Rhinolophus ferrumequinum: one gene and its partners. The protein of the gene in region 1 purifies or fractionates together with the protein of each later gene. This does not show direct contact. Links are inferred from orthologs where the notes say so. Each region holds a gene or a part of one and is shown in the gene's direction. Other genes may lie near its edges.

Evidence for each region.
Region 2: the proteins of CTTN (region 1) and ASAP1 purify together in Homo sapiens (affinity purification with western blotting; 6 studies listed by BioGRID and IntAct, with this or other methods). This does not show direct contact. The link is inferred for Rhinolophus ferrumequinum from reciprocal best matches to the Homo sapiens genes CTTN and ASAP1.
Region 3: the proteins of CTTN (region 1) and FLNA purify together in Homo sapiens (affinity purification with mass spectrometry; 3 studies listed by BioGRID and IntAct, with this or other methods). This does not show direct contact. The link is inferred for Rhinolophus ferrumequinum from reciprocal best matches to the Homo sapiens genes CTTN and FLNA.
Region 4: the proteins of CTTN (region 1) and ACTR2 purify together in Homo sapiens (affinity purification with mass spectrometry; 3 studies listed by BioGRID and IntAct, with this or other methods). This does not show direct contact. The link is inferred for Rhinolophus ferrumequinum from reciprocal best matches to the Homo sapiens genes CTTN and ACTR2.

Annotation. Positions count from the first base shown.
Region 1 is NC_046294.1:2,980,823-2,988,313, reverse strand, and holds the start of CTTN (src substrate cortactin), read left to right. Parts: upstream 1-4,399; 5' UTR 4,400-4,544; intron 4,545-7,476; 5' UTR 7,477-7,491.
Region 2 is NC_046297.1:65,564,276-65,571,728, reverse strand, and holds the start of ASAP1 (arf-GAP with SH3 domain, ANK repeat and PH domain-containing protein 1), read left to right. Parts: upstream 1-4,271; 5' UTR 4,272-4,449; intron 4,450-7,453. UniProt on the Homo sapiens protein: Possesses phosphatidylinositol 4,5-bisphosphate-dependent GTPase-activating protein activity for ARF1 (ADP ribosylation factor 1) and ARF5 and a lesser activity towards ARF6.
Region 3 is NC_046284.1:6,248,927-6,256,163, forward strand, and holds the start of FLNA (filamin-A), read left to right. Parts: upstream 1-4,133; 5' UTR 4,134-4,276; intron 4,277-7,237. UniProt on the Homo sapiens protein: Promotes orthogonal branching of actin filaments and links actin filaments to membrane glycoproteins. Anchors various transmembrane proteins to the actin cytoskeleton and serves as a scaffold for a wide range of cytoplasmic signaling proteins.
Region 4 is NC_046296.1:24,869,776-24,877,149, reverse strand, and holds the start of ACTR2 (actin-related protein 2), read left to right. Parts: upstream 1-4,301; 5' UTR 4,302-4,436; coding exon 4,437-4,484; intron 4,485-7,374. UniProt on the Homo sapiens protein: ATP-binding component of the Arp2/3 complex, a multiprotein complex that mediates actin polymerization upon stimulation by nucleation-promoting factor (NPF).

The DNA of each region.
Region 1 (7,491 bases):
TTTTGCAAACCATCTGTCTTTACATTCTGGTAGCTTTTATGACTTTCCTGGAGAGTTTGCAGTTTTACTATCACGTTTCTAGGTGTATTTTCATGTTTATTATAAATATCACCCTTTGAATTGGAGAGCATTTTTGGTGTGAATGCTCTCATCTTTCTTGGATTACAGAAATTTCTCACCTATCATTTCCCCAGCTATCACTTCTCCATTCTATCATTCTCTGCTCTTGGAACTCTGTTCAATACAGATTATAGTCTCTCAATCTTCCATGTGAAGTACATGCTGTGTCTTATTATTTTTTTTTATTGCTTTGAATCTGTTTTTTATTCTGTGCTATCCCTTGGTAATAGCTTCCAAATCACCAATTTTCTCCTTAACCATGTAAATCTAGAGTTAACATACTCTATCGAGTTTTTCATTTCAATAACCATATTTCCCACATTGTATTAGTCGGCTCAGGCTGCTGTAACAAAATGCCACAGGCTGGGTGGCTGAAACAATGGGAATTTATTTCCCACGATTCTGGAGGCTAACTCGAAGGTGCCGGCCGATTAGGTTCCCTCGTGAGGGGCTCCATTCCAGGCTTGCAGACGGCCACTTTCCTGCGGTGACTTCACATGGAGACAGGAAGCAAGTTCTCGGTGTCTCTTACAAGGGTACAAATCTCAGCATGGAGGCCACACCCTCATGACCTCATCTAAACCTAGTTACCTCCCAACGGCCCCACTTCCAAATACCATCACACTGAAGACTAGCGCTTCCACATATGAATCTGAGTGGGGGACACAATCGAGTCTGTAGCACCTGAGTGAGATTTTACATAAGTTTTCGTAACTGCCTGTTTTTGTTTATTAGTTTTGACTATTTTGTAAATGTTCCTTGTCAAAACATTGATATTTTTAAATCATACCCATATTGTGCTACAACATGAAATTCAACTTTAATAATTCACATTCTCATTGTTCATTGTATTGGTTTTCTCGTTTAATGTTAGTTCTTAGAATTTGCTTTGGAATTTATATTGTAGGCTCATTTTAAGTGGAAAGTATTCTGTTTTGCGTTTTCTCTTCTTCCCTCTGGGTGTGTGATGGGCCCTGTCTCCTGTCTCCAGGAAGCCTCAATGATCTCCCATTGGACCAAGTTGGAGCACGTGCCCATCCCTGAGCCAATCAACGCTAGAGGAGTACAATGTGCTGATTGGTTGAGGCCTGGGTCGTGGGCAGCACCTTGGAGACTAGAGGAGGCTCCCTCCACAAGTTGTACCTGGAGGTAGGGGACCCTGGGGGCCGAACTGAGGTATCCACAATTTCCCAAGTGAAAGAGGGTGTTCTGAATAATTGATCCCAGGCCACAGGTGTGGGTCACAACAGGTCTCACCCGCGTGCTGTGTGGCTTCAAGTAGGGCATCCAGCCTCTCTGATCTCCATCGTCTCAAGTAAAATGGACATATCTTGCCAGGCTTGCCAGGGCTTTCTCTTCCTATTATTGCCAGCTAAAGGCCAACACTCACTGGGCATTTCTGCATGCCAGGCCCTGTGCTAACCAAACGACATGTGGTCTTCATATTACAACTCCAGGATGCAGGTGCTAGCTGCACAAATAGCGAAACTGAAGCAGGGAAAGGCAGTGAGACTGTCCACTGTCGCACAGCTAGTAGGCGGTGGAGCTGGGGTTTTCAGGCAGGTGCTCAGCCTCCAGAGCCTTTGTGCACAGCACCTGTTCCTGTCTTCAGGCAGTGACTAAAGCGCTCCATGAAAGTTGTCACTGAAAGCGAGTCTTGCCTTTTGCTTGGCTGCACACACCACTGCACTGCCGGTAATAATGATGGATGTGAAAATGCTTAAGTTCTTTCTGTCTGACCTTGTGCCCCCGTGCACACCCCATTCTTTGCCACCTCTGTGCCTTTGCTTGAATTTCTCCCTCCCCCTGGGAGCCCCGTCCTACCTTTTATGTCCTAACCCTACTTACTCTTAACGCCCCAGCTGAAAAGCTTTCTCTCCAGCATCACTTCGAGGACCACACCTTGATGTGTCACAGGCCCATCAACGTACCGAGTCCAAAACTGTATTCTCACTCTCTCCCCTCAATCTTATTGCGTCGCCCCCTGCCCCTAATTTTCCTTGTCTGAGAATTGACTCAGATGCTAGGAGTCATCCTTGCGTAAGGAAAAATTTCAGACTTTACAATGGTAAAAGTGATTTTTGGACATTCCTTCGAAAATGCTGGAGCCTCTGACAACCAGCTGATTCTATAGAATGCCTGCCTTTTTTTTCAGTCTAGACGATCTCATACCTCTGTAGAGGAAACAGTCAACCTGTAGAAAACAGACAGCAATGCAAATAATTCTTGTCCACAGACATGCAAATTAGCCGGGTCTAGTGAAATACAATGGACTATTGCCGTATGGGTAGACCAGTTTTTGCAAATTCTTTTCAGCATTTCTTTGACTTCCTTTGAAAAAGTTGTAACACCTTATTGCTTCACTCATTATTACGAGGTCTGCTAATGAAGTTCGTGAACTCATCCTAGAAAAACTGTTACATACCTCATTGCTGAATATCACTGTGGTCACCTTCGAAGGACTCCCCTTGGGAAGCTATGCACCAACGCCAGCAACTAGTCCATCCTTCAAAGCAATTTTGGAACTCTTTTTCTGCAATGGCCATCAGAGCTGTTGTATTACCCTTGATGCCCTGAATGTCATCAAACTGTATTCCTTTCAATATTTCCATTATCTTTGCATAAAGAAAGAAGTCATCATATCAGGTGAGTAGGGAGGGTGTTCCAATACAGTCATTTGTTTACTGGCTAAAAACTCCCTCACAGACAGTGCCATGTGAGCTGGTGCATTGTCGTGATGCAAGAGCCATGAATTGTTGGTGAAAAGTTCAGGTCGTCTAACTTTTTCATGCAGCCTTTTCAGCACTTCCAAATAGGAAACTTGGTTAACTGTCTAGTTAAATTAATAATGAATAATCTCTCTGATATAAAAGAGGTTAGCAACATCATTGCAACAAGTTTGCGAACTTGTCAGACCTCATAAATCTTTGACGTGTTCATTTTATATGTGTATGAAAATTGTGACTTTATATTTAAAAAAAAAATTATCCTTTGACACCTGACAGCTCCTTCCCCACTCCAAACCCCCAATCCATTCTCAAGTGTAACAATTTAACTTTTTATTTTATTTTTTTACTTTTTATTTTTTTGCTTTTCATTTTTAAGCAGTGACCTTTATTTATTTTATTTAGTTAATTAATTTATTTATTAACTTTTTAAATGTCTCCTGTGTCTACTCCCTTCTCTCCATCTTACCTTCTCCCAAAAGTTTGCCTGAAGTGGTTGTACTAGGCTCCTCCTACCTGGCCCTCTTCCCAACCATTCCCGGCTCAGCAGCCAGAGGAATCTTATTACAATACACACTTGATGATCTCTCTCCTCTACTTAACTTCCTCCAAGGACTTCCTATGTCTTTAAAAACAAAAGCCAGTGCTCACATGGCACTGTCTGTGAGGGAGTTTGCTGTGCCCTGCCAACCCCTACATGACCCGGCCCCGTCGCGCTGCACTGCCCTGCTTCGTCTCCACAGTTCCATTACACCGACCTTCCTTCAGTTCCTCTGCGGCAAGACGTTTCCTGCCTGGAAAATTCTTCTCTTCTTACTACGTTCATTCCCATTTGGCCTTTAGATGTTGACGCAAATGTTCATTTAATTGCTCAAAGAAACCTTCTCTGATCTCCAGGAGGAGTTCAGGTCCTACCTTCTCTTCAGTATAATTTCATGACATCCTAGACTTCTTCATAGCATTTATCTTGTTTCCTAATTATACATCTATGCGATTAATGCCTTAGTTCTCTTCTAGGCTGCAAGGGCCGTGAGGAAAAGGCCCATTTTGTTCTGCTGACCTTCTATCCCTAACACATACCTGGCCTTTTTTGGATGGACGGATGCATGGATGATTAATGGATGCATGTGTGGGTGATGGATGGAGGGGGGATGGATGGATGGATGGATGTGTGGGTGACGGATGGAAGGACGTGTGGAGGAGGATGAAGTCACCTGTGAGGGAGTCCGCAGGGCTCTAGGCACTTGCGTTGACCCTACGCTTGGCTCACTTTCCCTTTTTCACCCAGGGCAGTGCTGGAATACCACCTCGATTGTCTGCACGCGACGGGAGCTCTGTACATTTACCCTGCAGAAATGAGCACTTTGTTTTAAAGCATGCTTTGCAGGCTCGCACCAGGCGGGTTCGCGCTTGCGCTAGCGGTGGCCGTGCCACGTGGCCCAGGGAGGCGGCAGGGAGCCGCGCCGCCAGGAAGCTCGGGCCCGACAGCTGCGGCGGCTGCCGCGCAGTCACCAGGGCTCCCGCGGCTGCGGACCCGAGGCCGGGAGGGGCGTGCCGGGCGGGGGCGGAGCCTCGCCGGGACCCGGATGCGGCCGCGGCCCCGCCCCCGCCCGCGGAACCGGAAGTGCAGCCCGAGCTGGGGAGCGGCGGGCGTAGCGAAGCCAGGGCCGAGCCGGGCCGGACCGACCCCAGGTGGCGGTAAGCGAGTGCGGCTTCCGCCGGGCGAGGAGGGCCGGTTCCTTTATTGTGGTCCCGGGCGCCGCCAGGCCCCGAAACGGGAAGGAAGCGGCGGCCGCCGCGGTCTCGCCGCTCTTCCGCTCGCGGTTTCGGGCGCGGGGGGAGCGCGGGCGAGGCTTCCCCGAGCCGCGGGCGGGGACTGTGGGAACGGGGCTGGGGGCTCGGGGAGGGGGGCGGGGGGCTCGGAAGGAGACGGGGGGCTGGGGAACCGGGCTGGGGGCTGGGGAAGGGGGCGGGGGGCTCAGAGAAGGGGGCTGGGGGCTGGGGGCTCGGGGAAGGGCGCTGGGGGCTGGGGAAAAGGGCTGGGGGCTCAGAGAAGGGGGCTGGGGGCTCGAAAGGGGCCGGGGGGCTCAGGGAAGGGGGCTGGGGTCGGAGGGAAGGAGCGGGGTTCCGAGGGAAGGGGCCGGGGTCGGAGGGAGGGGGCCGGGGTCCGAAGGAAGGGGGCGGGTCTGCTGGAGGAAGCGGGGAGGAGAGGGGTCAGATGGGAAGAGGTTTAGTGTCCAAGGGGGAAGAGGCCGGAGGTCTGAGAGGGTGGAGGTAGGGGCCGGGCCCACGGGGCGGGGGACGCGGCCCAGCACCCGGGGTTAGGGGAAAGGTGTGGAAAGCCGAGGGGGAAGGTGCTGGGGCTCCTAAGGGTCGGTTTCGGATCCAGTGGGACTGGCGACGGAGGGGTCGCTGTCCGCCTGGGAGGGGCCACACCTACAGGCAGGTTTTGCAATCAGGTCAATGGAAATGCATGGACACGCGGAGCTGCAGCGCGTTGTGCGGCTCTAAATTTGGAACAGCCCCTGCACTGGGTGTGTTGGAAGTCACCAGAAAGGTGCTTTTGGTGTTTCTGTTGTGTTTCTGTCGCCTGAATATTCCAATGGGAGCTTGCTCTCCTGCTGGAGCGTCTCAGGTGAAGAGGGGACAGGCTTCCTCCCAGTGGAATCTGAGGGCCTGTCGGCCTCACGGGGGAACTCCGTCTTCCTCTGGTCACAGCTCTGGAGCTGCTGGGAATGATTGCTGGCTCCTGGGTGACGCATTTGGGCTGTGAGTTCACTTGCTCCCTCCCCGCCCTCCGGCTTTGTCAGGGGGCTAGATCCAGCTGGATCCAGAGCTCGTGATCCAGCGTAGTAGCCAGGCTCGCCTAGGGCTGGAAGGGCTGTGGGTCCCGCTCCTACCCCCATTCCTGTGTTAGACCGCGGTGAGTCACCGCGCACTGAGGCAGTCCTGGGGAGGAACCTGCCCCCACACACTCTGGGAGCAAGGAAGCGCCCCAAAGGCGACTTTCAGACCCCAGCAGAAAGAGCCAGGGTCGCGCAGAGTGGTTTTTTGATGCTCTCCCCCAGTAACTGAAGTTTACCCCCCACGAAAGCTGACTTAGTTGAAGCATTTTGCTGAACTTACCTTTAAATCACTTTGAAGTCAGGGGAATTGGTGAGTCAGACCTTTGGTCCAGGCTGTGTGCAGTACCCTGTTTCCCTGAAAATAAGACCTAGCCAGACAACCAGCTCTAATGCGTCTTTGTAAGACCGGGTCTTAAATTAAGTTTTGCTCCATTAGAGCTGGTTGTCTGGCTAGGGCTTACTTTCGGGGAAACACGGTAGGTGCTCAGAGTGCACGGCTGCGTGAGTCACTGAGCTGAGCGCTGGGACTGCCTGCCTGGTGTTGCGACAGCCTTGTCCTGGGCCGGTCTGGAGCTGGGAAGTGCCTGTCAGAGGCCCTGCCTCTCAGTTGTCAGGGTGCAGGCAGGTACTTGGAGTGAACTGAGCGGGGCGCAGGGAGGGGTTTCCTCTGAGTGACTGGCGTAGGGAATGGCCTCGTGCTCTGTGGCTGTTGGTTTTCTGCTACACCAGATAGTGGGCTCAATGGAAAGCCAGTTCTGCACTTAACGCACTGCTGGTTGGAGGCCTTTTTCACTCTGTTTATGTGGAAGTGCAAGATCACTTCCCACTTGGGCAGCTTGATTTGTACGGGTGACGTTTGCAAGGAAGGTTTACTGCCAGTGCACTATTAATGGCAGCTAGGGGTCTTATCTTTTTTTCATTTAAAGTATTGAGAGGGTAATAAGTGATTTTAGGTTTGAGCCTATCACTAGTGGCTCTTGGGTAGTTTTATAGATGCTGATTACAGTGCGGACGACCGTACCCAGACTGTACTGAGCAACCTGCACAAGTGAGAGCTTCTGAGGGGCGCACAGGAAGGGCCAACAGAGCTCCCTCCCTCCAGTTCCGAATTCCTGACAAGCTGCTGCTGACCTAAGGGGCTCCAGCCTGTGACTGGCGTGTCCCAGGAACAAGGGGATTTGAATCGTCTGCTGTGCACTGTCTACCAGTACGGCCTCCAGGCGAGGCCGGGGTGTAGGCCTATGGGAGAGGCCGTGCGTTAGTGGCTTGGGGAGCTTGTGGCGTAGGGCGCTGGCGTCTTGATCTCATGCGGTAATCGCCTCCGCCCCTAACCCCCCCCACACACACACATTATGACCCCTTCATGGAGTCTTTTCCTTACATTGTTTTTTTTTTAAAACTCACAGTAATAGAATTTTATTATTTTTAGCAATGTCATGAATTAGAATGAACTAAAAATGGAAACTTACCGGGATGATAGCAAACAGGAAATGTCTGTGCCACCAATTCAGGGAATAATTTCTGTTTGCGTTAAGAAGACACTTCATACGGTTGTAAAACTTTGAAACTTCTGATTTTCTGTAGTCTCTCAATGTGTCTGAAAAGCGGTTGAGCTTTTTGGTGAGTAAAATGCCAATTGCTCATCCTCCTCTCAGACTTCTTTATAAAACCTGGTTGTTTGGGAAGATTTCAGAGGTATTCTAAAGGGATCTCCACACATAAGGATTTGCCCAGAGCACCTGTCCACACATCCTCTGAGCTGTTCACCCTTAATCTTTTTACAGACGGAATCATTCCCA
Region 2 (7,453 bases), on another chromosome or scaffold:
ACCTGACATCAACCGCAGATGCTCACTCGCCCACCCTCTTTAAAGAACCCCCCACCCTTACCTCCCACTAGCTAGATGGCCACGTGTCTGAAGAGAGTTGTCTACACTTGCTGTCTCCCACTCGTCAGCCCACTGCAATCTGGCTTCCAATCCCTCCACTCCATTGAAACAGCTCCGGCAAAAGTTATCAGCTTCCTGTCAGATAAAATGACACCTGCTTTCCAATCCTTATTTGATTGAATTTTCTGGGGGCATTAGAGTGTGTTGGCCATCCCTTCCCTGTAGAAGCAGTTTCGTCCCTTGATCCAGGTTTTCCCTCCACTCCCCTTCGCTGACCACTCCCTCCAGCCTTCTTTGTAGGCACCTCTTCCTCTGCTACCTATGCTATCCCTCAGGGTCCAGTCCTGATCCTGGTACCTTCTCACTCTCCACATTCCCTATGGGGGTTCACTGGCAGCCTGCACCCATAGCTTTGACTCCCAAGAAAGGCAGCAGGGTGGTGATTAAGGGCCTGGACTCCAATGCATAAAGCTCCTCTATGCAATGTTTGGCCTTGGGCCAGTGACTCAACACTCCCATGCCTCAGTTTCCTCAACTGTAAAATGGTACAAAGCTTTTTAGTCTCATCGCTTTCCACATCTAATCATACACCATTTTCTCACATCATGCTGAACCTCGTAGCGTTACCCAAACATATTATGTTGTCATGCTCGGTCTTAGCTCAGGCACTTAGGGGTGCTTGGTCAATATCTGTGGATAAATGAGTGAATGATATCCTGGATTGGATTTCTCCAGAAGGAAATCTTGAGGAAAGGAAGTGGGTGCAGTTAGGTTATTTGGGAGGTGATTGATCCCAGGAAGAACAAATAAGGGAGTGGGAAAGTGAAGCAGGGAAGAGAGGAAAAGCAGAGGGGGTTAAGGAAAGCATTGCTGCTAGGGGCGGCTGGACTCAGTGCCACTGGGGATCTCAGAGAAACTGTCGGAAACACTTTAGAACTGTTCCCCCATAGGGATGGGAGGTGGGGACATTTATCCACTGAGTGTTTGGGGGCTGCCCCAGAGCTGCTGGGCACTTGCAGTGTGGGCACGGTCCCATAGCCCTGGAGAAAGTTCCCAGGCAGAGAGGATGAGAGGTGTGCACTTCAGGTAGACAGTTCCTTGATCAGATAACACAAATCGCAGCTGCAGGTGAGCTCAGAGGAGGGTGCAGGGGACACAGAGCTGAGCTTCACCAGCACATGGCGCTTTTTGCTCCGACTGGCAGGCCTCTGCCCCCTCATCTAGCTAGCTAAGCCCCACTTCTTCCTCGAAACTTAGTTCAAGGGCATCCATTTCTTGGCTGTGGTTTCTAAGCTCCTGCTATGTTTGTGCCCCCGCCCCCTATTATGTGTTAAGATCCTACTCCCCAAAGTGATGGTATTAGGAGGTGGGGCCTTTGAAAGGGGATGAGGTCATGAGGGTGGAGCCCTCGTGAATGGGGTTAGTGCCTTTATGGGACCCTGGGGAGCACCCTTGCCCTCACCCCTTCTACCATGTGAGGACACAGTGAGAAGATGGCCATCTGTGAACTAGCGTCCTCACCAGACACCAAATCTGGCCACACCTATCTCGGACTTCCGTGCTTCCAGACCTGAGAGAAATAAGTGTGTGTTGTTTAGAAGTCCCTCAGTCTAGGGTATTCTGTTACAGCAGCACGAACGGACCAAGACACGCCCCACAGTGCTGATTTCGGAAAGCTCCCCATGCTCCGAGCAGCCCCATGACGCCCCGGACAGACCTCAGTCCGAATTAGCAGCCCCTCTCTGCTGTCTCTCTTCTTGTCTGTCTTCCCTTAGAGAGCAAAGCCAGTTTAGCTTTGCCAATTAGTGCCCAGAAGGTTTCTGAGCACATATAGGCACTTAACCACGGCCTTTTCATGAATTCAAATCCACCTTGCCCAGGGCCCCGCTGAGAGTAAGTGGTCAATAAATGTAGGCTCCTTTCCTTCCCCTGCCGCTCAAAGAGTTCACCATCTTAGGAGAACACTCACCCATGAAGCATATAATGCGATACATAGGTTCTTTAAATGAGCAGAAGTGCTGGGGGAGCACAAAGGAGGGAGCAATTAACTGGGGCTGTACCAATGAGACTGTAGTTAAGTCGTCTGACAGTCTTAATTACTTGTAGTTTCCACTTTCCAGAACCACTAATAGAGCCGTTTGGTGCTCCTTCCATTACACTGGGCTTTCCCATTTGAGAGCCTCTCTGCCAAAGCAGAAGATACAGGGAGCTAAGGGGCTGAGTGAACCTGCAACCTGCATCTCGTTCACCTCTGTCATTCACTTGACATGGCTTTACTGAGAGTTTCCTATGAGCCAGCACTGTCTTTGGCACTGGGATCCAGGAGTGATGGAGACACTCTGATGGAGTTTTCCCATGCAGGGGGAGACATGATAAATAGGGAGACATGATAAATAGGCAACCAGATCAACAGGAACACATTAATAGTGACAAGGGCTATGAAGCTATGAAACAGGGCATGTGACGTGCGGGAGAGCTGGGGAAGGAAGTATAGCTGCCAAAGGCAAATAGATCAAATGGCTGGGGAACCATTTGATCAGCTGGCTTTTGAGCTGTGAGCTGAATGCCAGTAACAGCCAAGCAGAGATTCTTCTAGGCTGGGGGAAAAGCTGCTGCAAAGGGCCTGGGCAGGACCCTGGACTCCTGTTGCCAAGTCCTGAGCTTGTCCCGCCACTTCTGGCCCCTGAGAAAGAGTTGCAGAAAAAGAGACAAGACTGGGTCTAAAACTGATGTCTGGTTCTTGAATAGAGGGAGCTGATACCTACCTTTGGGTTCTCAGCAGGTTCATTTCAAGCTTTGGTTTTCACTCATGGGCATGTTGTTCCCGCTTCAAAGTCTGATTGGGTTTCAAAGGAATTTGAATACTTACAGCAAAACCACCATGCTGCATCCTCCAGGTAAAAAAAACCCCAAATGTGGCATTTCTGTGGGAAACCACAATGAATCACTCCCATTGGCCGCCTAGTCCAGGCCTGACTGGACAGAGGTTTACTTTGGTTTTCTCAAACTCTGTAAAGTCTCTCCAGACTTTTTTACAAACCCCCATAGTGTCCTGACTCTTAGGTTAAGAGCAAAATTCTCAGTTCTGTGAGGTTTGCTGAGTTCAGATTTCTCCAGGACAGGGTCTGCCATAGCCACTAAACCGTTTCCTCTGCAGAGAGCAGTTTCTGAAATGCTGCAAAGAAAAATAATCACTTGGTGATTAGGAGGGAAATGAAGTTCTAAGGCTTTCTAAGTAGGCATAGATGTGCAGGGTACACACTCCACGTGTTAAAACCCTCCTTTCTCTGATGTCACTTACAGGAATAAGGACAATCACGGCTATCATTTACTTGAGCATGTACAATATGTCAGTCCCTGCCTAAACTTTGGGTTTCCAAATGAAACCACGAGGGTGGTTATTACTACCCATGTCACATGAGGAAGTATAGACTTCGGAGAAGTTAAGTGACTTACCCAAGGTAATAGCTAGAAAAAGGCCAAAGCCAGATTCCAACTTGAATCACTGTCCTATCCTATACTACTCTGACCAGAAAATTCCTGGCCCCTGGCACTGGGCAAATTTTGAGGAAATGAGCAGAGCGTTAGCAGTGAAAGGGGGCAGCCAGGTAAACTCATTTCTTTTATTGAAAATGCGGGAAACGGCTTGGAAGCATGCAAGTTCATCCTCTACTGGATGGGAGAGAGGCAAAGGCCCTTTCCTAAAGTTGGGGGCCTTAGAAAGGCACCTCCCAAGGTCAAGGATTTATCCCGGACAAATCCCGCCGCTTACACCTCTGGGCAAGGAGCAGGCAGGCCGGAGGGGGAGTAGGTCGGAAGGGGAAGGGCGCCCGGACCCCGGCCCAGCTTGCTCACGGAGTCCGCGGGGCCCCCGCGGAGCCCCCGCCCGAGCCCCCGCCGGGTGTCGGAGACCCCGCCTGTCCCCCCGCCTGCGTGCCGGCCGGCCAAGGGTTAAGCGAGGCGGGAGCCCCCCGGCGCGGAGCAGCGGCCGGACGGAATGCTTAGTCAGGATTCCGATTTCCTGTCGAAGTGTTTGGATTTCCTGAAACCCGCGCCCTCCGCCGCGGAGCGGGATCGTCCGAGCCGCGCGCGTCGCTGCGGCCCTCCTCCCCTCGGCACATGGTCGCCCGCCCCTTCCTGCGCCGCGCTCGCCTCCCGCGCCTCGCCTGGCCTCCGCCGCCGCCGCCGCCGCCGCGGGCGGGCACTCAGCGCTCGGGCACGCCGGCCCGCGCCCCCCGCCCCGCCCGCAGCTCCCGGCCTCGCCCCGCGTTCCGTTCCGAGAGCCGCGATCGCCGGGCTGAAGGAGCCCGGCGCGGCGTCTGCGCCGTCGCCGGGGAGCTGGCGCCGAACTCCGCGATGGAATAATGCCCAGCGGCCCGCCCGATCCCGGTGAGTCGCGGAGCTCGGGACAGGCTCGGCGGGATCTCTCTGGGTCGTCGGCGTCCCCGGCCCGGGCCCCTCGCGCAGAGGCGCCGGAGCCGTGAGCTGGGCGGGCCTCCCGGCTCCGTTCGCAGTGGAGTGTCCCTGTCCGCGGGGAGGGCGCGGGCCCCCGGCTCAGCAGGGCCCCGGGAGTCTGATCCCACGAGGAGGCGCCCAGGTGGGGCGGGGTGGGGACTCCGCATGCCCTCCGGAGAGGGGCCTGGGACAGCGCTCCGAGTGGCCTGGCCCCAAACGATGGGGCGCCCTCCTTGCGCGGAGCGCGGGCGCTGGCATTGTCTCCCTGGCGCGGCGAGAGGAAAGTTCCCCGCCGTTCCTGGAAGGCCGCCGGCCCCGGCCTGGACGGGGCGCTGCCCCTGCAGGCCCCAGGCCACTTGCTTAAAAGCAAATGAAAGGAAAGAGGGGAACAAAAAAAAGATTCCCACTCCGGCTTGGTGTTTGCTCCGGGAAGACTGGGAAGTGGCTTATGGGTTAACGCTTGTACCGTTTTGAGACCTGCTGCATTTTCTGAGAGCGACATGAAGTTAAAAAGAAAAAAAGAAACTCGCCGGCGTCTGGTATTCTGCGTGCGGTTTCATACATCCCGAGAGTTCTGGGCAGTCCTGAGGGGTTTCCTTTAATAATTTATTTTTCCACTAGGCAGGGGATGGAAGAGCTAGTCCAGACTTTCGTTAACGTGACCCCAGCTTTACCTGCACTAATCAGAAAGAACAAGAACTTTCTCTCACTTTTCCCATAGACTCCGTTATGGTGTCTTGGCATAATTGATTCTGGAATGACAGCAAGGCTGCAGTGCTGAGGCACGTTGGGACTATAAAACATAATTCAGTAGTGGGGCCAGTTTTATCTCTATTGCAACCTTTACCCCAAGGCTTTCCATTTTGCAATTGGAGGGCCAATGTAAAAGCAAGAAGATGCAGCTCTTTTGGAGCCTCAAATAGTAACAGTTTAGAAAGAAAAAGGATCTTTGGGAACACCTGTTTCAGTCCCTTCTTGTACAAATGAGGCTGGGAGAGGGGCAGGACTTACCCAAGGTCACTTGGCCAGCCTTCAGACCCCGGATTCAGTGCTCCCCTCACTATGTCAGCTTATGGTCTGTCAGCCATGAAACATAGGGAAATATGTCTTCTTTGCATTTTAAGCATCCCTATTTTAGTGCCTTCTCTGGTTCTGTCTATCTGTTATTGCTGCTATTTTTGAGATATGCAGTTACCTCCAATTGCATATTTAGAGATAGAAAGTTAAAATAAATTTCCTAACCCTTGCTGCTGTTCAGCCACTGAAAGGATTTGGAATATAAAATGGGTGGCTTATTACATAGAGAATTACTTTTCTCCCTCCCATTCTTTTGTGAAAAATAGAAACTTCCGAGTCCAAAAAAAGGGCAGCATCTTAGCACATAATGTGCCGTGTGATGTTCTCCAGACTTGATTTTCAGCCCTCCTGTATCTTGTGAGCTAAGCAGCCCATCTATTTTCCTTCTTATGAGAGCTTCGAATGGCTGGTTTTTCATTTTTAGTATGTGATCATGTTGGAAAGGACTTTTTCGCAAGCTTGCCATTTGGTGAAGGAAATTGAAATTCTCTCCACCTCCCCAGTGCTTACCAGCTACAGTGAGCCAGATTCTCAAAATCAGTCGGAGCTTTGCAGGCCTCAAACTAATGTGTGCATTCAAATGGGGCCCTCCCTCAGCTCCTCAGGAGGACCACCTCCCAGCTGGCATTTCCACACTGCATCCAGGTGGCTCAAGTCTAGAAGAAAGAAGGGAACCATATTACTTGGAACAGTGCTGTTCTTGCATTTTTCCTCCAAGTTCTCAGTGATGTTTGACGGATCTTGACACTCATTCTTGTTTTTCCCTCCCGTGTTTCATTCTCTCACTTCTCTCCCAGCCACTATGTCTGGCATGGGACCCAGAACAAGCCTTTTCTATGGGATGCATGAATGATCCCCATGTAAAAAGTAATGACAACGACAGCTAACATTTACTGAGCACTTGTTGTATACCCCAGACATGTTCCCTCCTGAGAAGTCCCAAGGAAGAGAGGAACTCCTTTGGCAGCCTCGCCCAGAAAAGGAGGGCACTTTTCAGATTCATCTGAGTCATGCTTTCATTCATCCAGTACACGTTTGCTAAGTGGCTTCTCTGTGGAGGTGCCAATCCTGCAAAGATGAATAGGACTCTGTGTCCAAGGCTTTCTATTTCCAGCCTCATCTTTTAGTGTCAGCCTCACACTTTTCTCTTTTAATTAGTCACTTCAGCAAACCTGGGTTGAGCACCTGCTCCATGCTAAGCACTGTGGGAAGCACCAAGGAATGAGATAGTCCAGGCCCCACCCTCATGGACCCAGGAACTAGGCAAAAACAAAGAAGCAGGTAACTTCTGACCAATGAAGGTTGTGATTCTTACTATCAAGGAAAACACACAAGGGATCAAAATCATGACCAAGTGAAGTGGGGTGGCGCTGGGGGTAGTCCTAGCTTTGCTAGGGAAAGGCCTCTCTGAGACTGAAGAGTTCAGAAGGAACCAGCTGGGCGGAGAGGTTGCAGGGGAGGGCCTCAGGCAGGGGAATCAGAATGTGCAAAATCCTCTGCACAAAAGAGCTTGATGTGTTCCTGGGAGTAAGGGAAATCGGGGGGTTCGAGTGTAAGGGAGCGATGGGCAGAAGGCACAAGGTGAGGTTTCAGAGGGAGGCAGGGGCCAGGTCACACAGTGGGGTTCCAGGTCATGTTCGGGAGGGTCCCCCCACCAGTACAAAGAGAAGCATTGGTGACTGTAGGCGCAGGAGTGGGATTAGATTGACTTTTTAAAAAAAATTTTTTTAATTGGAGAATATTGGGGAACAATGTGTTTCTCCAGGGCCCCTCAGCTCCAAGTCCTTGTCCTTCAATCTACTTGTGGAGGGCGCAGCTCAGCTCCAAGTCCGTTGCATTTTTTCAATCTTAGTTGCAGGGG
Region 3 (7,237 bases), on another chromosome or scaffold:
GGCGGGGCCGCAGAGTCCAAACGTCACCGGCTGGCGAGTTCGGGCGTGAAGCGAGGAGGGACACGGCCGTGCGAGTGGAACTGGCAGGAACCGGCCAGAACGTGGGAGCGGGGCGGGGCCGCGGTGCTTGGAGTGGCTCGCCCTCCTTAAGTTACGTGGGCTCCGCCCGGTCCCTTCAAGCCACCACAGCCCCCATCCCCCAACCTCCAGGGCTCCAACGTTTGGTGTTCCCCGGCCGCCCCGGCAGCAGCGGGAAGGGGCCCGATCCTAAGGGCGAGCCCTTGGACAGCGCGGGTCCCTGGCCAGGCGCTGCTGCCAGCTCTTTGAGCGCGTGCGCCACACTAGGGAAGTGGCCCCGCAGAGCCCGGAACCTAGGACGACCCTCAGGCCGACCCTCAGACCTCCTGCCTCAGGACGGCCTTTCTGCTCTGCTTGGCCCTGGCCTGTGCACCTGCACCCTCGGTCCCCACAGCTTCCCCCGCTACCTGCTCCACCCAGGAGGAAATGGGGCACTGGGCCAGGAGGCCGCCAGCACTCCAGGAGCAAGCAGCCTTGGCAGGGGCCGGCCCGTGCCAATGGGCACTGGCAGAGAGTGCCGTGTGATGCATGCAGAGACAGCGAGTGTCCGCCTGGGGTTGCCGTCCACCTGGGGCACTGGGGGTTTCCTCTCCAGTCTGAATGGCCCCTGAGCACAGCGTGACCCCAGGAGATGGCCAGGCGTGGTCCCTTCCAGACCCAGAGTGGCCTGCTCGGGGGTTCCAGTAAGACTTGGCAGGCTCTGAGCCCCTGGGTCTGGGTGGGCTGCAGTGCCTTGGCAGTGCAGAGTCCCTCCCCACCAGGACCGACCGGAGGGCCAGAGGACCGAGGGGGGCAAACCACAGAAGGCTGCGAAGGCCTGCTGAAGAGCCTGGACGGTCACTAGGAGTTGGTAAGGGCCTTGGTCAGTAAAGAGCTGTCCAGTGGAGATTGGAAAGGAGGTGACATGTTGTAAACAAAGACAGCCAATGGAGTGTGTGGCCAGCTGAGATGCCCCTCCCTGGGCAGGCCCAGAACTGGGAGAATGGGGAGATGAGGTGCTGTCCCTGGTCTTATAGATGATAGCTGGTGACAGGGAAAGCAGAAGTAAGGAGGGCTCTGGTTCAGACCCAGGCTGGCTGAGCCAGCTGGTGAGGGTCACAGACCAGTTCTCCATGGAGGTTTGATTATGGGGTAGAGAAGAGGCAGCCATCCAGGGAGTGGTGAGGAGGTGGGGCTGTGGTTTGGGAACACACAAAGACTCTCAGAAGAGTTGCTGTTGTCTGGGTTGTTAGAGGAAAGGTGAGGTCTGCTCTGTCCCCTAAAATATGAGGAGGAAGTATGTAGGTCACAGACACGTGCATGCATGGCTTCAGAGCAGGGAGGGAAATGGCGTTGGGGTCTGGGCCACTCGAGGCTGCCTCATGGAATTTTGAGTTTTGGCAAGATCGGATTCCCCAGCACCTCTCCAAGCCTTCTTCTGCAATGCTGGCCCATGTCCCAGCGGCTCAGTCCTCCCCCATGCCACCCCTCCCTGTACACATCTAAGCTGTTTCCTTATGAGGTCAAGGAATTCTAGGTTTGCCTTCTCCCCAAGGAACACCCCCTCCCTGGCACCTGCCTCGGCACTCTGCTTTTTATGTCCCACGCCAGTTGTCCCAATATGAGGTCCCACCATCGATGGCACCAGGAGGCTGAACTGTGATGGTCCCCTGCGTTCACCCCATGGCTACCTGGCACCCACGACCAGCCCCGCTGCAGCACAGACCCATCCCAGACCACCAGGAACCAGGACGAACCCTTGACCATCAGAGCTGAGAGTCCCTCTGCAGCACCCCCATCAGGAAGAGGAGGAATTGGGGGGCCAGAGAGGGAGGATACTTGTCCAAGGGCCCTGAGTACTGCAATTCATTCATGGACTGTTCCCTCAGCCAGTACCGGATCCTCAGGTCAATAATCTGGACAGTCTGGCACAGCAGGGGTTCCAAGTCCTCAGCGGGGCTTTGGGGAAAATCTGAGGCCTCCAGGGGAGTCTTCCTGGGAAGGGTGGGCAGAGTTAAAGAAGCTGAGTTTCTGTGGTACTGCAGCCAGGGTGGAAAGGGCTAGGAAGCCGCCGACTCCAAATCAAGAGTAAGATAGTTTCTCCTTTAAGGACAGAGGGGATGGCTTCTAAGCACTATATTGTATAACTTGCAATCCCAGCCAGATTGAAAGTTATAAGGAAAAAGAATATCAACCTGAATATATTTCTCAGCATCCATGTCCAAGGAGATGATTGTTCACTGAGTTATTAATGTTTTCTGTAAGATCAGAATCTTCTTATACTTTAGTACTAAACTTCTCTTCAAGGATGTTAGAGATCCTTTGGATTTTACCTGGTATGTGAATGCTTTGAAACATTGCTCAGGTAGTAACAAAAGTCATAAGATGATGATTATTGTGAAAATGTATGTGTGGATGATTGTCACAATCAACATAAAACACTGAATAGTTAGCTGACCTAAAGTCTCTCAAAGAATGCCTCATGTTCCAACCCTAGAAGCATCGGTTCATGTGGGAGCCGTTGGCACAGCCAGTTGGAGAGTGAGCCTGCCTTGGCAGCAGCAATAGAGCTGATTCTAGTGGTTTTCCAAAACCTTCAACACAAGGAGAAAAAGTCTTTCATTTATGACGGTTATTACCAGGGAACAGTTGGTGCTGTACAAACCTTCGTTCCCCCTATACCTGGAAGAAGGAGAGACCAAGAGCTGTGTGTATTTCAGGGGTGTGTGTGGAGGGCGAGAGAGGCAGTAGTGGGAAGAGAGGATTCACATGGAGGTGGGGCGTCCTGAGATCCAGGCACGTGGCCCGCCTCCTTCGTGTCCCCCAGCTCTTGTACACATGGCAATGCCTGTGGTAGGTGGGTTTCCCTCCTTGAAGGATAGCCTTGGCCATGAGCTCCAGCACAGCCACCTTATGGACCTGAACTCAGGTCGCTCCTCTATCAAGTGATGGTAACCCACCATCCTCTTCAGCTGTGGTGGTGGGCGGGTCCCACCAGAGGGAGCAGTGAGAGTTGGAAATCCGGACACTGCTAGGAGATCCCACCATGGGTCAAGGTGGAAAGGTCAAAGCAGAGCTACCACTAGCAAAGGCAGGAGTGGCTGTAGGGAAGCTTGGAGGGTGATCAGCGCCTTCCTGTTACTGGTAAACTGTAGATCGCCAAATTCTTTTAGCAGGTGTGACCAAGCTTCTTCCTTCCATTTTTATTTCTTTCCTTCCTTCCTTCTTCCCTCGCCCTCTCTTTTAATGGAGTAGAATGGAAAATATCAAAGAGCTTTGCAGGTACTAAGGGAGAGTCTTGTTTTGTGAAATGTTTGTTTTAATTATTTGTGTTTGTGTGTGCGCATGCACATGTTTTATGTGGCCTTCTTCGGAAGTGACATTTGAGCTGAATCTGAAACTACCAGGAAATGGGCAGAAGAGGAAGAGGGAGCCTGGCAGTGCCAGGGCATGTCTGTGCCACCCGGCTCACAAACACTTGGCTCTTTGGCTGCACCTCACTGTACACTCTCAGGCTTTGGGACTGCATCTGATTGTGCGCCTAGGAATTCACCACTGTTCTGCTGCCCCCTCCCTGGACTGGCACCAGGCAGGGGCCAAATCAGTGGCAGCCAGGCTGCTTGTTCATCACCGTGGACTCAGGTCCCTGCCCCACTGGGGCCTTGTGGGTGGTAAGTGCTCAGTGAAACACACCTGCAAAGATCTGTTGTCCCCACCACCCCAGAGGGCAGAATCTGATTTGACTGGCCAGCCCAGGCTTGGGGCAAAGGTAGGGGCAGTGACTGTGGGTGGCTCCCTGGAGGAGGTGGCCTTTCCAGCTGGGTTGAGACGTGAGCCCTGCAGACCCCACGGGCACTTGAGGCAACCTCCCCCCATCACCCCGGCAGCCTTCACCGGGTGGTGAGCTCATCGGGGGTGGGGGGTGGGGGGTGGGGAGCGTCACCAAGCAGCCGGGGCGCTGAGCTCACGGCGCGCCCCCGCCCCCCGGCCACTGGGCGATTTTACCAATTAAGGCTTTTTCGCCCAGCAGGGCGCGGGGCGGGCGCGGGGCGGGCGCGGGGCGGGGGTGCGGCCAACAAGAAGGCGGGCAGCGGCGGCCCATTCGCGTGGAGGCGCGCGGCGCGCAGCGGACGCCAGCGGAGCCCAGAGGCGCCGGGCGCGGGCGCAAAGGCGAGCGGGGCGCCACCCTGCGGTTGTGGGCCGCCCACAGGGACAGCAGGTGAGGCAGGCCTCCGCGGCCCGGGTCCGCGCGAGACGGTCACCGCGCTACTCGCGGACCCGGGGCGGGGGTGGCGAAGGCGAGCGGAGAAGTCCCGAGAATGTAGGCGCCGGCGGGCACGCAGGCCCAAGCCAGGTGCAGCTGGGGTGCGTGAGCGCAGTGGAGGAGCCCCCTGCGCCTGGAAGTGCTGTGTCCAGGGGTTCCCTTCCCTAGTGTACCTGTGAAGCTGTGTCTGTACCCAGGAGTGTGGGAGCCCTAGGCCATGGGGATTCCTGAGAGAGGGTGTCTGAGCTTTTGGCAGGATATGGGCTCGCATGGATGCTCGTGAGCTGGCCACTGACTGACTGGGAAGGACTGTCTTTGGAGCAGGACATAGTGTGGGCTGAGGGTGAGTGGCTACCTGGAAGGACACTTTGCAGCCAGTGTTGGGTTCTTCGCTGGCACCAGTCCTTGGCATCAGCTGCCTTGGGCACAGGGGAGCTGGTTCTGGGGCTGCTCTACTCCATGGGGGCCAGGACAGGGCTGTGGCCAGGCACAGGAAGCAGCGTCTCCTTGGACGGGCTAGATTCCTGGGCTGAGCCCTGGGCCCTGTCCCAGGTTGGCTCTGAGCTGGATGTTCACCACCAGCCAGGATGTGAGCTGCAATGTGCCCAGATTCTCATGCTACCCGGCTCCAGGAAAAGTAGGCAAAGTCTGTTGGCAGGCCCACGTGCATGTGCTCCAGGCTGCAAGGTCAAGGTGGGAGCTCAGGAAATGAGTGTCCTCACCTGCCACACCTGGACTTGCCTTGGCGGCCCAGGTCTCTTCTCACCGTGCCATTTTGAGGCTTGCTTCACCAGCTGACGTGCCCCTGTGGGAGGGTCTGGCCTGGGGTCTGAGGGCCAGCTGTGGGGTGGGGGGCGGGGTATGTTTAACATCCAAGAATCTACTCCAAATAAGGGAAAATATGAAAGAGCTGGATTTAGGCTCCCAAGGATTGACTGCCTGATCTGGGGGCTCTGGGATGGGGCGCCATCTGGTGGTAATACTATGTCCCCTAGGGACAAGAGCCCTCTACACCCCTATCACTTGTCTCCCCCAAATAGGGGAAGCCGAGGGCTGGAAGCCAGGACACCCAGCTCTGTCTCCCTTTCTGCTGGAGTTGACTACTGGTCAGTTACTGACTCAGTTTCCCTGCTCTCTGAAGATTAAGGAATGAACACCGATGACCCAGTGGGATGGCACTTAGTATTATAAAAAGAAAATCAATTCTTGATGTAATGCTGTCCTGGGACACATGCTTTCCAGTCGGGCAGGGGGAGCAGAAGGACCACTCAGCCCGTCTTGAATGGGGCCTGGCAGAGAGGGGTCCATCCGGGTTCCCCCTTCACAGCTCTCCTTCCCACCTCCACCCCAGTTCCTAGACACTGTGGTATGGGGTTTTGTGCAGGTATGGTTGAAAGTGGTCAGGAGAGGGGAGAGTGCACAGGTGGGCCTCAGATTGGAAAGTGTTATTTGGAGTCCCTACCACCACCATTGGTGAGGAAAAACCAGTGGGGTGACAGGCAGCCTGAAGCGAGTGTGCTGGAGGGCAGGGGAGATGCCAGCTGGGACCACCGTGGGTAATGCTGACCCTGAGTCATGCACGAGTCAACCAGCCATATTTGGACATGACATGCTGGCTGAACCAGGGCTTTCTGTCCCACTGGTCTTTAGCAGATGATAACTTAATTGCTACTAGTCTGCAGCTCAATCTAAGAATCAAGCAGGAGGGACAGAGACTTAAAGAAAGGAGCATCCTGGAGAGGGGGGGTACACAGAACTGGGAGGAGTGATTCCACTCTGGGGATGAAGCCATGGTTAGGCTGGCTTCTCTTGGTTGGAGGGTGTCAGTGTGTCCCCAACAGGCCTCTTGCTGGTCTCCAGTTCCCTACAGCAGCCTCCCCACTGTCTCCAGAGTTATCTACCAGAAAATTAATTTTGAGCAAATAGTTCCCTGTTGCCCTCTGGACACAGTCCAGGTTTTTCAGCAGGCCTTGGCAGCCTTCTGTGGTTTGCCCCCCTCGGTCCTCTGGCCCTCCGGTCGGTCCTGGTGGGGAGGGACTCTGCACTGCTAAGGCACTGCAGCCCACCCAGACCCAGGGGCTCAGAGCCTGCCAAGTCTTACTGGAACCCCCGAGCAGGCCACTCTGGGTCTGGAAGGGACCACGCCTGGCCATCTCCTGGGGTCACGCTGTGCTCAGGGGCCATTCAGACTGGAGAGGAAACCCCCAGTGCCCCAGGTGGACGGCAACCCCAGGCGGACACTCGCTGTCTCTGCATGCATCACACGGCACTCTCTGCCAGTGCCCATTGGCACGGGCCGGCCCCTGCCAAGGCTGCTTGCTCCTGGAGTGCTGGCGGCCTCCTGGCCCAGTGCCCCATTTCCTCCTGGGTGGAGGAGGGAGGAGGGGAAGCGGTGCGAACGGGAGGATGCAGGTGCACAGGCCAGGGCCAAGCAGAGCAGAAAGGCCGTCCTGGGGCAGGAGGTCTGGGGATCGGCCTGAAGGTTGGCCTAGGGTCCGGGCTCTGCGGGGCCACTTCCCTAGTGTGGCGCACGCGCTCAAAGACCTCGCAGCAGCACTGTCCAAGGGCTCGCCCTTAGGATCTGGCCCCTTCCCGCTGCTGCTGGGGCGGCCGGCTGGGGTGTGGCCGGGGAACCCCAGGCGCTGGAGCCCAGGGGGAGCGGGAGTGGCGGGGGCCTGTGGGTTCTGGGCGGAGCCCCCGTGACTCAGGGAGGGTGAGCCACGCCACCCCACGCAGGGGCCTTGGGGAAGGAAAGTCCCTTGTATGGCGTGCTCACTGGAAGACCAAGTGGTCCAGCGCCAGATGCTGCTCATCCTTTCCTTGCTGCAGCATTTTCTGCAGCGCTGGCGTGAGGCTGCGGGGCTTGGTTTTGTCCTAGACCCCTTCAGTGCCCAATGACTGTCCCCAGAGCCCGGG
Region 4 (7,374 bases), on another chromosome or scaffold:
TGGCTTGTAGCGTTCCTGCTGAAAAATCTGATGATAATCTAATGGACTTTCCTTTGTAGGTTACCGTCTTCTTTTCCCTGGCTTCCTTGAGGATTCTTTCTTTGTCCTTGATTTTAGACAGCTTCCATATAATGTGCCTTGGAGAAGGCCTGTTGGGATTGAGGTAATTAGGTGTTCTATTTGCTTCTTGGATTCGAGGATCCAGTTCTGTCCACAAGTTTGGCAAGTTCTCATTGACAATTTGTTTGAATATATTCTCTGTTCCCTTCTCTCTTTCTTCTCCTTCTGGTATGCCCATTATTCTTATATTGCTCTTTCTAATGGAGTCAGAAAGTTCTTGTAGAGTTCTTTCATTTCTTTTAAGTCTCAAGTCTCTTCTTCCATCTGTGTAATTTCCAGGTTTCTATCTTCGATGTCACTGATTCTTTCCTCCATCTGGTCAACTATACTACCTAAGCTGGCTATTTCATTCTTAATTTCTTCTATTGAGTTCTTAATCTCCAGAAATTCTGTTTGGTCCTTTTTTAAAATTTCAATATCTTTCATAAAATACTCATGTTGTTCTTTGATTGTGTTTCTGAGTTCATTAAACTACCTTTCTGTGTTTTCTTGCATCTCGTTGAGTTTTTTCAGAACTGCAATCTTGAATTCTCTGTCATTTAAATCACATATTTCCATATCTTTAAGTTCCTTTTCTGGAGACTTTCGACTTTCTTTCTGAGCTGTCTTGTTACCTTGGTTATTCATGACAATTATTGATTTATTATTTCTCTTCCTAGACATGTACAGGAGTGGCTTCTGCAACAGGTTGATAGGACGAGGTCTTTCTTTTGTTTTCCAGTACTAGTTGATAGAATTTTATTTTCTCTCCAACTGCAGCCTTTTTTTCTCTCTCACATGGTAGTGCTATGTTTTCTCTGCACTATTCCAGCTTCTCACACAATGGGGGGATTCCCTGGGAGATGGGCTTCTCCTCTGTTAATAGTTCGCCTGGGTCACAGGGCACAGTGTCCGTGTGGGTATGCGGAGAACTTTTGAAGTTCCAAAGCTCTTCTTGCACCAGATTCAGAGCCCGTATGTTTCAGCAGTTCTGTTTACTCCTGCAGGCATCTGCCCAGATAGGTGCGTTCAGGGGCGGGGTGAGTTGTGAGAGGTGGCCCAGAGAATGGCGGCGAACACCACACAGCCGGTCCTGCTTCCACTGCTCCCTCCCCTTTGCCGGAACTAGTTGGGCTGCGAATCTGTTTCTGCGGTCCACAGTTCTCAGAACAGCAAATATTCTGTTCTTTTTTTTTTTTTTAATTTATGGGGGTGACAACTGTTAGTAAAATTACATAGATTTCAGGTACTATTCTGTTCTTTTGATCTGACATTGCTACTATACCGCTTCTAGCATTGGGCAGGTGGGGGCAGGGTGAACTTTGGAAGGGTAGGGAGGGGGGCGGCTAGTCTTAGTGCCTAAGGCTTCTGTTCTCTGCTCGGCAGTGAGGGCTTAAGCCACCGTTTTCAGCCTTCTTCCCTCAGTCTTTGCTCCGAGGTCTCTGCCGTGAGCATTGGGTTCAGCCATGTTATATGCTGCCCCCTCAGCCCTGTGGGCCATAAGCAGAGCCCTAGCAGTCCGAGTTCTTCCCTCTCCCGCAGCCGCGGCAGTTCCAGGATGCAGCGAGCTTGGAAGACTGAGTTAGGTCTGCGTCCTGTGCCCATCCAGCTCCATCTCCACACTTCTCCCTTTTCTCCTCCCCAGCTCATGAGATTCGCCCACCCTTAGGTGAATTCAGTAGTGGGCCTCTTCGTCCTGCCTGTCTGCTATGCAGGGAGTCCTTTGTGGAGTAATAGTTGTTCGATTAGTTGTAAATTCCAGGGGAGATTTATAGAGGCTCACCTCATGCCGCCATTTTGATGACGTCTCTCATTCCAGACTTAATTTTTTAAAGCCCCCATATTCTCATGTGTAAAATGGCAATATTTGCCTAGCAATATTTTTGTGTGGAATAGTTTACATAAAATCTGAACAGAAGGCTAGAAATGAAGCCCTCCTCAAAAAAAAAAAAAAATTCAATCGCTTAAAATGTGGGATCACATTATTTTGAGGAAAGTGACATGACCAGAATGCACTTGGTCTAGAAGGTCAGAGACAGTCACCAATAGTATTACACCTAAATTTGCATAATCAAAAGTTTTGCTACATTTTCATTACTGTAGTTTGTTGATATTTTCTATCATCTGCGTATATTGCTTTTATAGTCAGAAGAAAACAACAGAAGCCATTTATTAAAAAGTAAAAATTAGTAATGCATTTAATTTCATAAAGAGAGAAAGTAAAAATATATAGAAATGCATGAGTTCAATTTGCTGAGACCAACTAAATGTACTCCCAGGAAAACTGCACAGTGCTAGGCACTGGGGCCACAAAAGTCAGACGTATAATTTATGAACTTAATGCACTGTTCAGCAGGGTGAGGTACCGCAATGAAACTGGTGTAGGGAAGACATATTCCCCTGAGGCCTCCTCTCCTACCCATCCTAACCTTCAAACTTCCAACTATAGCTATGGCAGCTGTACTTTGATCTATTTTATATTTTGGGATCCCATATAAAGTTAAATTTGAAGAAAGCATTTTATGCCTTTATAAAGGTTTGAAAGAACAAAGTTAAAACTGAGAGGCAGCCTAGTATTGTAATACTGGATGGGAGGGGGGTTCTTGATCCAAGTTTTATTCTAGTCATGTACAGCCATTTGGAAAGCACAGTTTTAGTTCTTACCTCTGAAAAACGATGGCATTTTTTTTAGATGAATTTTAATGTCATCTATCCAATAAATATTTGTTGAGTGCAATAAACACAATAATGTTATTCATATATCCATGGTAAAGTAATAGTAAATAAAGGGAGTAAAAAGCATCTTAAGGGTTATCAGCAAAATCTTCAGAGATGTGACAACTGGGTCGTAGAGCATGAGTAGATGTCTCCCCATTGATTAAAATGAAAAAAGATAGGGGCATTAAAGATAGAACTACATGTTTGAAAGTATGAAACATAGTGAGGAATAAAGTGAAGAAATAAAATGGAGTCATGATGGTCAAGCTGCTAAATTACGAGAATCAAGTAATCTGAGGCATGAGGAAATGCTTCTATTCTTGCTTTAACTAGCCTGAGGACTTAAACTTTTAAATTTCTCAGTTGTGTGTCAATGCCTGGATGTACATTACTGCCACAGATAACCATCTGAACAACTCAGGAAAGAATGCTCCATTATCCAGACCACCAGACACGTGGAAGATTATCATCCTAGACCAACCCAGAGGCTAAATATGCATGACTGATTGTTCTCAAGAATGTACTTTTTACTGTAAGAACTCACCTTTTCTTTCTCCTTTGGAACACTCTGGGTATTAACTAGTTAGTTGTGTTTTCAGTTTGCAAACCCTAAGACCTTGAGCAACTTTTTGTCATTTATAGCCAAAGTCTCCTGACTTTTTGCGAGTTTGGTTGACAAAAGTTACCACTGAATGGATGCTTACTCCACACACATAATTTTATCCTCACAACAACCATATTATCCGCAGGCACAGATAAGGGGATGCCCAGATCACAAAACTCTTGAGTGGTAGGGTCAGATTTGAAACGGGGGTTTATTTTAAAGCCAAGGTTCTGGGTTCAAGTAGGTATGTATTCTGAAGAAGTGTAAAGCAACATGGTGCTGAGAGAAGGGGTAGGTGGTGTGTGATGAGGCTGGAAATGTAGGCACCCACTCTTATTTAAGGGCAATTTGAGCCAAGAAGGATTGGGCTGGAATTAGAAGTATCTATGACCGCATGATGTCAAATACGTGTGTGTATCCATTCCAGCTCTGTCAGCTGAAAAGGCCTAGAATCGAGAGCACACAGAGCCATTTTCAATAAGTGGGATTGGCAAGGACCTCCAGGTTTGCTCCCGTTCCGGGCTGCCTTCTTCGCCACATTCCACTGCCATCTCGCGACAGACCCGTTGTCCTGCCTGCGCTTTCTGCAGCCAGGTAAGAGTGTCCTCAACTCCTGCGACGACTCTGGAAAAAAGCTGCAGCACCCACCAGCTCGGCTGCGTTAAACGCCGGAAACCATACGCAGAGAGCATCACCCGAGTAGGCAGCAACCGTGAGGGCGGGGCCGGAGCCGGAGCCGGAGCCGGAGCTGCGAGCCAGGACTTGGAGCTCCTCCGCTTCTTATTTGGGCTCACCGCTGCCAATCTCCGTCTCCTCTCCCTTACCCGCCTGTGTCGCGCAGGCCGTGGGCGGGGCGGGGCCGGGTGGCGACTTCCGGTTGGGGAAGAGAACAGAGCCCAAGGAGGGGCTGAGAAGAGGGAGGAGGAGGAAGAGGAAAAGGCCGGGCGGCGGAGGCTGTAGGCGGCGGCTGTAGGTTGTGCGGCGGCAGCAGCGGCGGCTCTCTTCCGGGCGGACGATGGACAGCCAGGGCAGGAAGGTGGTGGTGTGCGACAACGGCACGGGGGTAAGCGGCGGGCAAGAAGCCGCGGTGGCCATAGGTCGGGGTGGGGATGTGCGGGGGACGCGCGGGCCCTCGGCGCCGGGGGCTGCACCCCTGGGCCTTCGGGCCACCGGGGCCAAGGGGCTCGGTGCAGCCCTTTTCCGCCTCCGCGGGCGTGGGGAGCGAGCGGCAGGGTCCGGCCTGGTCTCCCCCAGCCTGCCATCCCCATCAGCCCTCCGGGTTAGGGCGGCGGGCGAGGCCGGCACTGGATGGGGATCTCGCCCGCTGCTCGGCGGGGACGGGCTCCGCTTTCTTGCTGGGGCAATCTGGCTAAAGGGTCGGAGGGGTAAAAGACTAAGTTTGTATGTTCGAGAAGGGCTCCGTTCCCCAGGATTGCCGGTGTATAAAAAGGGGAAAGACCCAGAGGCCTTCCTCTTCCTGTATAGATACTGAACGGGAGGCAGGAAACGGGTTTAAAGAAAAAAAGGGAAGTGCTGTCAGTGCAAGCCTCAGCCCTTTGGCAGTTTTGAGTGTTTTTTTTTTTTTTTTTTTTTTTTGAAGAAAAGAGAGGCCAGGTCGACTGCTCATCATTTAGTTTTTGTTCTGCATGCCGGGATTTTGGCCCAGGTGCAGCCCCGCGGAGACCAGCATGTTACATTGAATGATCTTGGGACATCTAGGACCCGTCAAGGCCCAAATGTTAATTCTACTGATTGGCCTTGAGGGAAGTTAATCAGTTTTGTTACTTATTTTAGATGAGTTCCATAGTGATCATTTTCTCGTATATTATTACAGTGATACCTAACCGTTTTGTAGTTGCATATTTGTGACTTTTCTTTCCCTTTCATAAATGTGATATATGAATTAAAATAGATTTTACTTGAACTTTTAAAACACTTTGGAAACTGTGTTGTGGGGGAGAGAGCTAATATTCACTGCCATAATACTTCCCCTGATTGAATTTGTTACAGACTTTTACAAGCAATAATTATACTAGTTTATCCCAAATGGACTTGAGTAATGAGTGTTATCATATAATGGGACATCCTTACAAAATGGAGTACTTAAATTAAAAAAAAAAGAGGCCCATTTACTGCTATGGAAACATATCTAAGTTTATTGTTAAGTTTAAAAAATGATCCTATTTATGTGTGTGTTCTTCATATAAACTCTATAAATATGTTTATATGTCCACAAACCTGTATGTGTAAGTTTTGGGGGGATACGTGAGAAATGTGCATAGTGGTAATCTGTGAGACTAGGGATAACGGAGTGGGGGAAGATGAAGACTTCATGACTCTTCCAAACTATTGGAAAAATGGTTTTTGTTTTTTAACAAAACATGTATTGTTAAACTATCTTGAAACTAAAGAAACTATAAACAGTTATTACTTTTACAGTTAAAATTCAATTAAAGGTGCTTTTTAAAAGATATTAGTCTCAAATTGACCTCTAAGTAAATTTAAAGATTTGAAAATTGAATTTAAAACATTTTGTTTTGTGAATATGCCTGATATTCTTTTTAGAAATCTGAGCCAACTATATTTTAATGGATTCCTCCTTTTCGAAGGGTAATGAACCCTATTTTTGTAATGAGTTTTGTGATACTGTTAGAATAGGAATGTTAACCTTAAGCTCATTTTTATGTTATTATTTCATCAACTTAGCTATGTTAGGAAGCTGATTGTATATTATTGGTCTTATTCCAATCTATAATTTAAGAATCTTGTTCCTTAAGACAAAAGATCAGTTGCTATGGAATAAATATGAAAAGTGTATTTAGTTCAAACAAAATTTTATATATTTGGTGTTAATTTCTTTTTTTAAAATTATATTTGGATTTTGTATAGACATGATTGACTTCAAATGAAGAAACACTGATATAATATGGAATGCTGTGATATTTCTGAAAATTTAGAGAATTAGGAACCACTTAGATTCTATATTTTGTTTCATAGTCTTGATTTTATTGAGGTATCTGATTTCATTTAATCATACCTTTACAATATTTAATTGTAAAGGTATGATTACAATTAAATATTAAACAAGATATTCAAATTTAATTTCTAAAAATTTATGGGAATAGTTGTTACCCTAAAGCAGCTTGCCTCTTACACGTTTTAGGTTAAAATTATAAGCAATTTGAGAAGTTGATGATTTTTTTCTTTTAACTCCTCTGACAGGCCTTAAGTTGAAGAGTAGGTGAGTTTTTATGATCACGTGCTAGATGTTGGTCCTGCTCCTCTTCCTCACTAGCCCCCAACTAGACCAGAGTCTCGTTCAGGCAGCCTAGAGGAGGAAAATGCATCCGATTCCAATAATTTATTTGTTTCATCCTCATAACCAGTCAAACCTACGACCTACAATAGAGCCACTGAACATGGCCAGATAGGTGAAAATCTGGAGATCTGCTTAGGTTTAGGTGCCTTTTAAGAGTTTTGCCCAGGCCCCTGGTGTATGTTTTGTCACCAAACTTGGGTGATTTCATCAGCAGTGAGCACCCACTACAGTGAAGACAACTGCCTACTGTGTGACTGGTACAGTTTTTAAAGTCTAGTGATACAACGTAGCTTATAGTGCTAGAATAATTATATTTTCATTTATAATTCATGATTATTGCCTGCTTTATCAAGTTTATGCTAATTTATAAGTTGAATTTAGGAGCACTTGGAACAGAAATAAACCAAAAACAAACTTGGCTTTACCCTGCAAAATGTTTTGGAATAAATAGAATAAGTATTTTGGTGATGTAAGATCAAAATAATCACTATGCAATTAAATTAATGCATCAGTACCTTCAGATAAAATTAATAAAGGAAAAATACATATACAATCCCAAGTGAAGCTTTATAAATCCGTTTATCTTTTTGAGAGGGGAAAGGTACTTTTAGAGCAAATGTAGATGGACGTTTTC